Linked DNA regions of Drosophila melanogaster. The protein of the gene in region 2 interacts with the protein of the main gene of each other region in a pairwise test. Each region holds a gene or a part of one and is shown on either strand. Other genes may lie near its edges. The genes, in order: Cyp6v1 and Mpc1.

The links.
Region 1: the proteins of Mpc1 (region 2) and Cyp6v1 interact in a two-hybrid assay, tested with the Drosophila melanogaster proteins (one large-scale study listed by BioGRID).

What each region holds. Positions count from the first base shown.
Region 1 is NC_004354.4:20,655,357-20,662,148, reverse strand, and holds Cyp6v1 (cytochrome P450 6v1), read right to left. Parts: upstream 5,028-6,792; 5' UTR 4,847-5,027; exon of another isoform or gene 4,621-4,846; 5' UTR 3,737-4,620; coding exon 3,269-3,736; intron 2,325-3,268; coding exon 1,506-2,324; intron 1,172-1,505; coding exon 896-1,171; 3' UTR 724-895; downstream 1-723. UniProt on the Drosophila melanogaster protein: May be involved in the metabolism of insect hormones and in the breakdown of synthetic insecticides.
Region 2 is NT_033777.3:18,926,477-18,930,848, reverse strand, and holds Mpc1 (mitochondrial pyruvate carrier), read left to right. Parts: upstream 1-2,189; 5' UTR 2,190-2,460; intron 2,461-2,534; 5' UTR 2,535-2,592; coding exon 2,593-2,654; intron 2,655-2,720; coding exon 2,721-2,821; intron 2,822-3,190; coding exon 3,191-3,351; 3' UTR 3,352-3,853; downstream 3,854-4,372. Other genes in the region: Xrp1, read right to left, coding at 4,345-4,372. UniProt on the Drosophila melanogaster protein: Mediates the uptake of pyruvate into mitochondria.

The DNA.
Region 1 (6,792 bases), on a different chromosome or scaffold from region 2:
CGGGGTCACCTTTTTTTTTTAAATCGGTTAAAACTTATAAAGGGCTACTATTATATTGGGACTTGTTTAAAGTGCCAGTCAACTAAACGATGTTACGTGCAACTTATTGAGCACTTTTGCGGTCCACTCTAATCCACTAGAACTCTAGACGCCCAGAAACCTGAACTTTGCTTCCGAAGCTCTCCAGTGTGCGATGGCAGTGACGTAGGCGGCCAGCCCATCGAATCTGAGACCGAAATACGAAACTGAATCCGAATCAGAATAGAAGCGATCAGGCCACCGGGCAAAGGCCTCCGAGACCCGGCTGACTGATAAGTTATCAGCAATACGAAACGAAACGAAACGGAACGCAATGGACCCTCCCCCGTCGACCCCCTGCCAATAAATATAAATTCGAGTTCGCTGAGGTGGCATGTGGAGAAAATCGGGACCATAAAAAATAAAAGCAAGATCGGGGGCACTGCTCCCTCTCAATGGAGTCCGATGATCCTCCACTATTCCCCCACAACACCTTTGGAATAATGGCGAACGAGATGAGAGCGATATTAACCCATGAAATGAGGTTAATATGATGCATATGGAGCATTTTTAAATTCGAGTGGGAGGAGAAAATACTTTTGAGAATAATTTGCAAATTTTTTTCTACTGCTAATATCTCTAAAGAGAATTCATAGTACTGCACACACCTTATAATAATAAATAGCTCTATGTACTTCTAAAATTCGCAAATAGATCATAAAACAAGCCAGCTGTATTAATGATTAGAAAAAAAAGATCGTAGCAAAGTTTATTTGAGGCATGCCGAAATATTTACAAAAACAATGACGATGGGGCTCTGCTCCCGCCCTTCAGGAACCCATAGCGTAATGCTGCTGATATTGGATGGGATCGGCGGCTATAAGCAGTCGACCTTGAGGTATATGCGTTGCTCACTGGCTAGCAGCGCGAACTTGGCGTCGAATTGAATCCGCTCCACGGTGCGGTCGCAAATCTCGACGCGATGTTGGTGCAAGAAGTAAACGAGGCCCAGCTTTATCTGCAGCAGTCCGATTTGCATCCCGATGCAATTGCGCGGCCCCGCCCCAAAGGGCATGTAGGACATGGGCGCCTGCAGCGCCTTGTTCGCCGCACTAAAGCGCTCCGGGTCGAATCGGTCCGGGTCCGGCCAGTACTGCAAAGGAAATAGCCCAATGAATAACGCTCTTCTAGACAGAAATATTACTTTAACTACTCTTTATGATTAAACATAAATCATTCCCCCAATTTGTTCATGTTAAATATCCGATACAAGTTAAAAGCTTCTTTGGTATAAGGATATGTTTCATGCATATTATGCATAGAAATAGGAACTCGTTAGGAACTAATACAGATACTTGTCTGTTCGATATCAGAATGCCCGAAACTTTCCTAGCTCGATCGCTCTATGAATCAAACTACTGATTGAGCTGAACAACACTTGCAGTTTTGCAGTTATGGGAATGTGTTAAATGCAACTGCGCACTCACCTTAGGATCGTGATGTATGGCCAGATTGGATATGAACACGGGCATCCCACGGCGGGTGTAGCACTCGGCGTGTGGCCTCAGCGAGTAGAAGCGCTTCTTGTTAATCGGCGTGCACTCGCGCTCCAAGAGTGGCACAATTGGATACTTGCGCAGAGTCTCCTCCACGACCATGTCGAGAAACTCCATGCGGGCGACGGCCTCGTAGGTGAGCCTCCCATTGGGATTGCTGGCGAAAGCCTCACGTATTTCGCGGCGCAGGCGCGACTGCATCAGGGGTTGTTTGGCCAACTCGTAGAGGGCGAAGGACATGCTCGCCGAGCAGGTCTCAATGCCGGCCACCTCAAAGGATGCCGCCTGAGCGGCCAAGAAGTCCCGATGGTGCGTGAAGTGCGACTTGTCCTGCTGCAGATCCGCCTCCTTCTTGAGCGTCAGCAGCATCTCGATGAGATCGTTGCGCAGATCACCGCCACGCTCCCGCTCCTCGATCACCAGCTGGATGACTCGGCGCAGGAATTCCGCATGCGGCTCCGTGAAAAGTTTGGGCCGCAGCAGCGGCACCAGTTTTGGCAGGTAAAAGATCACAAACAAGTCGATTATTCGACGCACATTCGGCCGAAACAGGTCCTGACAATGTGAGCCGATCTCCGATTGCGTGTTCCTCAGGCTGTACGATCTCAGTCCGAATGCGATGCTGGCTATCATGTCGGTGTTGTACAGATCACACACGTCCTTGATGCTCACAATCGCCCCTCGCTCCGCGTCGCCGCGTCTAAGATCTCGAGTCAGACGCTTCAGATACCACTCCAAGTCGCAGCCGATCTACGGAGATATAGAACATCCCACAAGGAGCACAGAGCAAACGGATTGTTAATCAATAAATAGGTATCCAAATGTTGCTGCTAGAGCTAATCAGTGTTTCATTAAGTGTTTGTTTCATTAGTGCCTCGATGTGATTCTTGATATTTGCATAACAGATATACAACAGAAAAACCTTAGAGACTTGTCAACCGTTTGGACATGAGTTTCAGCTTTGTCATGGGAATTTGCATTATCACAATGATTAGTAAATTCGATTTGTTTTACTGAAACGCACACAGTTTGTGATTTCTTAGCATTAATTTGCATAGAACTTTTGGTTCGACTAGGCAACAAACTAAGCAGAGGAGAGCTAAAGTCTTGAGCTATAAACGTTATGGTTTTTTTTTCGTAGTAATGCCGTAGTTGGTGGTGACCTTTGATAAGATACAACAAGTCAGTAACAATAAACAGGTTCGATTTGATAAGCCCCAGATAGCAACATGGCCCGTTAGAGAGGTTCTTTTATCATTAATAATCAATAATATAAGATATGCCATTTCGTAACTCATTGATCAAAATTGGAAACATTACAATCAGAAGAGGAAATTTAATGGAACCTAAAAAATTGAATTTAATAATTTTACCCAGTAGCTTGGTGTAAGTGCCGCACCTCGAAATATTAAAATATAGCTATGATCCAAAACGATATGCCGGCGAAACACTTCGATTGTAAGGGAATGGAATTCGATTTGAATAACAGGCAGTTCCTATCTTTAAATGGAATCGGTGTAATTACAAGTCAAACCAGAGTAAAATAGTATTGTTGGTTATTTTTTTCTTCAATCGGGCCCCGCGATTAAGCGTGGAAATGTGTGTTGTGTTGGTCGGTGTAAGAGTTCCGAACGTGTGTCGTGGACCTGGGAGCGGGAGTTTGCAACTTGGACCCGGCTGGTTGAGTGACTCACCTCCTCCATCAGCGAGAACATCTGTTTCAGCTTGGCGCCAGCGAAGGCTGGTGCTAAACGGGTGCGGATCTCGCGCCATTCGGGTTGTTTGGCCAAAAATAGCGATAAGGCGCCCATTTTATCGCTGCGCCCGTCGCACTTGGCGAATCGGTTGGAGAAGCTGACGAAATCCTCAACCAGAACGGTGCGGACCAGCTGGAGATCGCGGATAAGCAGGGCTGGCTGGTGGAACAGATAGATACCCACGACGGGCTCGTTGCGAAACCGCTCGTCGAAGTAGAAGCGGCGCAACTGGAGAGCAAAGGACTCCTCCAGTCGGAGCACCCGGCTCAGGTTGCCCAGCAGGTGGGTCGGCTGGACGAACTTCACCCGCCGGCGCTGCCAGTAGACGTAGGTGCGCCGGGACCAGATGAACACGCCCGTCAGGATCGTCACTATCGCCAGCAGGATGTTCGTGGAGTACACCATCTCGCACTCGGGATCCGCAGTCAGGTCCAGCGGTGGCTGAATCGTGGAGGGATATGCGGATAGTGCCTTGGATTGACCGATCTAAGATTTCAGATTATTCCAGCAGTTGTGACCTCTTCGCTTTTGTTTTGATCGTCTGTTTGTTGTAAGACACAATGACTCCGGATATGGTATTTTTTATACGACCGTAGTTAACTTGCTATGTTTTTTAAGCTAAAGTTATTAGTTGTTCTCTGATTTCATATATATATAAAGTACTAAAGAGCTTTTAAATGTATTTATTCAGTGAAAATTCAATAGTATTTTTTTTTTTTTTTTGTAATGATGCTTCTTTGATTTCTTCGTATTTCTGATGTGTTTTTTAGTTGCACAGAGATCTTTAATTTATCCAATTCATTTCTAACTCCTGTTGGAAATCTATTTGAACTTCGCTGATTTCATTTCTCTTAAGAGCGTTCTATTTTCCCAGCAATATTTCTTCTTCGAAGATCGTCCGATAGTCTTTCTTCAAGTTTTGTTTTCAATTTATTTAGTCGGGGCTTTCGAACAATGTGGTTGACAAATTTTATTTTATCTGCGCGGTTTAATAATATTCTGCATTTTCCGTTGTTTTATGGTTGTTTCTGTTTCTGCTTTTGCTTTAGCTCTACTTTTTTCTTATCGTTTTGGCGCTCCTCCGCGTGGGGCTTTGCCGTTATTTGTTGATTCTCTTTGTCTTTGTTGTTTTTGTAGCTCCTTTGCGTTGCTCTCTTTTCCGCCAATCGTTGTAGTTGTTGTTTTGTTAGCAATCCTCAATGTCCCTTTATCGGGCTTTCTGGCTTTTCTCGGCGTCGCGTGTTTTATAAATAAATACTTAACTAATTATATCACATTTGAAACGACAACTACAAAAAAATATGTAAAAAAAATGACTAAAACAGACCACAATGAAGAATTAAATGCACAACAACGCGACGTCAACAACAAATGGAAGAGGCGAAAGAAGAAATAGCCACGCCGAACGAAAAGAAGAAGAGCACCGCGCAGAAAGACACAGAGAGAGGGATAGAAAGAGAAGTCGCAAGAGAAATGCGAAAAAACCGCGAATACAATTTACAAATAGCGAATTACAGAAAATAAGTCTAAAAATATAAATAAAATCGCTTGCTAGCTCCACCAAGCGACGCTTTTTAACTGACGCTACGTCAACGACCAAAGCCCCACGAAGGCAGCGACGTCGACAGAGCGGCGACGACGCCCCCATCAACGTATGCTGTTCTTTTGTGCTTTATTTTATTAACCGCAAGTTTGCGGGAGACAAAAGAGAGAGGGAGAGATCTTTCGGCGGGATAGTACACAGATACAGAAGAGAGCGCAAAAAGAGAGCTTTGCGAAGAATTTGAACAGTCATGTCATGAGGCACATGTTCTAGTTCGCACAGTGAAACTCATTTTAGCGAGGGGTGGTCAAATGCGGTTTCGTCCAGGTAATCGAATGCACAGCGACCCCACAGCAACTACATACATGACAAAAATCCATATTTTTTAAATTAATTTTAAAAAGTCTTAAAATAATTGAATTTGTATGTGATGCGATCAATGTGATGGTCAAATGTGATTTCGTCCAATTAATAACATCCCACAGCAATGCATCACAAAAAAATTATCTTTGGCTTAGTTCTAATGTTTAGCTGGAATATCTAATAAAACAACTGCAATTGTATGTATATTTCGTTTTATTCATACATTTAATTCCTAATTTATTGAAGTTGTGTTGTGTTTTAGTCATATTCAGAAAAACTACTAGAAATATGTATGTATATTTTTATTCAACGTGTGAGCCAGCGCTTTCGGTTTGTCCCACTGTTGGTGACAGAAAGATGCCAAAGCGCAAAGTAGACCGCAAATAAAAGTGACGATTAAAAGCGAAACTGCAAAACAACAACAATGACGTGACGCGACGGTGACCGCGAATCTTTCGATGAAAACAAAGAGAGCGAAGAGAGCGTAAATTTGTTTTTGTTAGCGGGTGCAGTACAAGACAAAGACAATGGTCACTTCTCGTTGTTAGGGCTTTTCATTCTAGCTTTTATTGTGTTCTTTTCGATTACTTATTTCTTGTCGCCTGTGATGATTTATAAATAAACGTTTTGGCTGTCCTCTGCCATTCGTTGCCTCTGCTTTTCGTTTTTTCTCTGTTACGTGCATTTGTTGTTGCGGTTCAGCTGATTTGATTTTCGCGTATTCTTCTGTTTGCAAGGGAATATCGATAACTAACGAAGGAGGCATCCCTGTGCAAAGTGGGCGCCAAATCAAAAAGCTGGCACAAAATTAAATAAATGTGGAGTATGATAGGTTTTGGTATAACTTATCTACCTGATAACTTAACAACTTTGCCGTGTTATTATTAAGTTAACTAACTAGTACTAACTACAGTTAATAAGTACTTTTATGTGTGCTTGTATCTTTTGTTTTTTATTGCTTAAAATTTATTTTATAACAAACGAAAACATCAACAAATGTTGCTTATCGGAAATTAAAACTTTGAATTTTCGTGAATCCCGAAAACAGTTTGTTGTGAGGCCAGTATTGAACTACTTTCCCCTGATTTTGGGTAAAAAAATTAAACACTACCAAACAAATTGCTGCTCGGAGGAGAAAGGAAACTCCATTTACAACAATTGACAGAAATTTGCACTTGCTGCGGATGGAAAACTTTCACGTCCACTCCTCAGTCCCCTGTTGAGCAGTTTTCCGACTTTTCCCACACGCTCAACTCCTTCTGGAAAAGTGTGCTGAAGTTACAAATGTGCAACATTTCCGGTTGTTTGTATGTCGTCTACTTTTGGGACACCGAAAACTGTTGGCCACATTGATGGCTCACATGGGGGTTAAGGGGACGCCGATTGGTATGGGGGGCGTCGTGGGGTTAAGTCTTGCTTTGATTAAATTTCACGCACGACCGCACAGAAAGGGTTTTCCGCCAACTGACAAAGGGGCGTGGCTCTGGGCGGGCGATTTCGATTTCGAGACTTTCCGGGCCTTACCTTCCGAAAATCACGCGCTGCAGTTCGATTT
Region 2 (4,372 bases):
TAACAACATAGTACGGAGTACACAGTCGCACTGGATTAGTGCGCTTAAGTGCGCTTAAGAGGAGCCTTTTTAGCTATTTGCCTCCATTTGGCACTTATTCAATTGAGGCATTTTGGGGACATTTCGAAGATGCCAAGATGCGCCACCAGGAGCGAGTAATTATGTCCGGCAAATCTCGCCCAGGAAAACACAAGTGTCCAGCTAACGACAAAGACCTTCAAGGGCCGCTAAGTAGGTCGTCCTATATGGTTGGTCTACATGTATATTTGCTATACCCCAAACAGAGTGTTTGTTTCATACATCTTTTCTTTTACGTGTTTCACCTTTTGCTTTACGAATGAAATCATTTACCATTCTTGGTCTTTTGGGATTTAATATTGAATCCTAATTCTAATTATTTTATATAAATCGCTTTAATGTTAGTTGAGCACAAGTTTTAGTATGTCTTTATTTTACACCCATTTCACATAGTTACTTCCGCTACTTAGAAAACTGGTAAAAATCCCTTTAAAAAAATTCACAAATCTGGTTGCTTTGTGTTTCCCTTTCTTTGATTTTCAATTATATTTCTCGCTTTTCTTTGTCTGTTGTTGTGGTTGCTCTTTCTTGCTTTTCCCCATTTTCACGCTTCTTCTTGCTTCTGCTCTTGTTTTTGTTGATAAATTCGGATTTTTTGGGAGCGGCTCATTTGGTTTTCTCTTAAACTTTTCCTTTTTTCTCGCGTGGAAAAACATTTTTGGCAGACTTACTGGGGAAAATGTACGAAAATTTCATGCTTACTAGCAACAAATGTGGGAATACAAAAAAAAGTGACCATTATGTGTAGGATTGATTTTTCTTCAAATGGTTTTTCTTTTCAGGTTTTACTGAACTGAAGCTGCGGCAACTGATGACGCGTAGTCAACATTTAAAAATTTAAAGAAGCAAAATCTGTCTTTGTTTTGGCAATTCTTGGAGTTGGTTTCTTTGGGCATAATTTGAATTTTCTTTAGCTTTCCCAAGCACCGCACATGGAAAATGCTTGCAAAATGGCACACTGACCACATATAAACACTCGCACGCACGCACACACACAGCACACAAACGCACACATACACACACAGACACACACGGGGATTACAAGTTGGCAGAACAGTGGCAGCGAAGTCAGCAGCGGCATCGACTGCCAACACAATTTCCATTTGCCTATTCCGCTTTTTCACTTTGTTGTTGTTGTTGTTGTTATTTGGCCAGAGGATGTGGTGTGTTGTTGGTGCCAGGATTCCTTCGATAAGGACTATTTACCGAGCCAAGTTTCCTTTGAGCCGCCGTCGCTCTCGAGTCGCAAATTCACACTGAGCCGGAGTTTTGGATTCGGTTTTGGATGCTGGTTGCTTCGCACTCGGATGCTGCTGGTTGTGCTGCTTTGGTCTTCTGCCGCCGCGGCCAAGGACTCAGGCGCAGGCTGTCGGCGCAGAAACCATCGCCCCAATTCTCTTCGCCTTGGTCCTTTTAAGAGAGCCGGAAGAGCGCGTATTAAGTGAAGAGCGGAAGCGCGTGGTGGATTAACCACTTGAAAACCGTGGCGCCCGCACTTCAGCAAATGCGTTGCAAATGCACACATTACGTCCACTTGTAATTAGCGGGCTTAATGCACATCAAGCATCCGCTTTTCGGCGGATATAGGGAGGGAAGTCCCTGCGACAAGCCTATCGAGATTGCAAATCGAGTCGAGTGTTGCAGCGATCAGTATATGCCTGACACCGATCAAGCGCTTCAATGACTTTCAACGATAGTGTAATATATCGGTATAACTTACAGGATTTTAAATGAAAAAGCAACAAGATTAAACTCGTTTTAGAATAGCAATTAAATGTTTAATTTTCGATTGACTTTATAAATATTTAAGTTAATATTAATAATGTAATATAAATATCAATATACTAGATTTCTTGATATTTATGCGTAGAGCTTTGAAAGCATTGTATTGTTTTACACTGTTTACAATGCTAGAATATTTTTTTGTTATAAATATTTTATTAATAAAAGTCTTAGCATAGTGCCTGGGCACAAATTTGCCCAACTAAAATATTGCTGAAGGTTATGTTAACCACTTTTCAAAAAAAGATTTAAAACCTATCGCATTCGCTTCATTCGACGTCCATCTCTAAGTGTGACCCTTGGATGTGGCGATTGTACGGGCTATCGATAACTCCGACGCGACAGCGACGCGGCAGAGAAAACTCGTTGATGCCTTTCGTTTGACTAATTTTATATAACTTTCGGAGTGACAACACGGCCGACACATAAACAAAAAATATATCCTAGCTTGTGAATATTTAGGCACACACTTCACACACCTGCAACGCGGCCTGCAGTTCCAAATTCTTCGTGTTTTCGATCAAGGTGTTCCAGGCGGTAAACAAACAACAGCAACAACAGCTGGCACCACAAAAACAACAACAACACGGCGAACAACCTGTAAGACCTTGAGGGGATTTTTTTCGGATTTATATTGCGCGGCAATGGCAATCTAATCTAAATTATTCCACCAGGTGCGCTTCTGATTAACATTTCTGGTCAGATATATTCAATTAGCAAAGCGGTAGCATCATGTCGATCAGGAGAGCTATGTCCACAACGGCCTCAAAGGAGTGGCGGGATTACTTTATGAGGTCTGTTTGTTGGTTATCAATTGGCCTTATATGACTTATTGTAAATATTGCTTTTTATATCCACAGTACCCACTTCTGGGGCCCGGTGGCCAACTGGGGTATTCCGGTGGCTGCTCTCGCCGACACACAAAAGAGTCCCAAATTCATCTCCGGCAAAATGACATTGGGTAAGGATATCCCCCCTTGGGTTTTGGCCTCCATCTGGCATCCATACACGCGCGACTGGCATCGAAAGTTTTCGCTTAAGATGTCGTAATCAGAGCCGCTGTGATATGTTCTAAACAAATCACTCTATAATGCCTGATAAGCCAGATACGGAAACTGTCGAAACGTCTGCCGATAAGATTGCACAGAGAAAAAACTAAGCACAATTTGTCCATTTTACTCCATAATCCGATTCCATCGGAATAAGATGCCAGCGAGGCAATATGCACATAATGTAATGGAAATTATGACAAATTTTGCTTATAATTTGTCCTGTGCCTTTGCCTATGTAAATAAGTCTCCCAGAAATGCTTATCCTCGATCTTTTCCAGCTCTGACCCTGTACTCGTGCATCTTTATGCGATTTGCCTACAAGGTCCAGCCCAGGAATTGGCTGCTCTTCGCCTGCCACGCTACCAATGCCACCGCCCAATCGATCCAGGGTCTTCGCTTCCTTCACTACAATTACGGGTCTAAGGAGCAGCAGGCGTAAATGTAATCCTTGCCCCGAAATCCACTTCCCCGAGACGCGACGCGCGAAGCCACTTCAAATGTTTACCCAACAGCAGCAGCTATCGCAATTTACTGCCACCACACGCAACGAAGATCTAGCAAATTGCACTGCCGCAATCCCATTCAAATCAAATCCAAGTGGTGGAGTAATTGCCGTGAATCACACCCGCACAATCGGCTGAATCTCGAATCGCGAAGTTGTCGTGCCCCAGTAGCCGTTTTCGCTGGGGTCAAATTCCAATTCCAATTGAGTCTATACCCAACTTGTTACTTTGCCCATTTAGTTAATTCCGTTAGGCAGTTGATCAAAATTTTAAGTCGGTGCAATGCTTAGATTACGATTATATGAATATGGTTTAAAATCCAATAAAAGATATCAAAATCTAATTTTGTCTAGTGTCTGTCAATACAAAATGGTTGTAATAAAATTGTAACATTTAATCATTAAAATGAAGAACGTTATAGAACCCATTCAAATATACAAAGTTAGTTGATTTTGTCACGTTTATTGAAACATGCTTTTTATTCAAACAATTACGGTTATATAAGTTGATATCTGTAAAATATACATTTCAATTGTTCTTAACAATAGCATATTTTTTTGTTGACATTTTTTAAACTTTTTTTTGTTCATCAATGGGGTTAAAACATACGAACTCGTAATCATTTTTTTGTTGTGCTTTTTTTTTTTTTGATTACGCTTTGGACGAAAAACATATCCGTGGGTATAAAAATTTTTTAGTTTTCTCAAACATAATAAAAGTAAAATTAAAGTTAAACACTCCTCGCGCACTATGGGCGCCATCACTATGCCTAATAAGTGGCTTAACTGATGTCCACATGGAAATGGAAATTTGATTTCTGCTTCTCGACTTCTTCAACGACAACTTAACTAACTAAACAATTGGATGACGACGATAGGTACTATGACAGGCTTATGCTCCGCAATTTCTATTCTATGGCTACGAGAATCTCAGTCCTGCTCCTGCTTAACGTAAGTG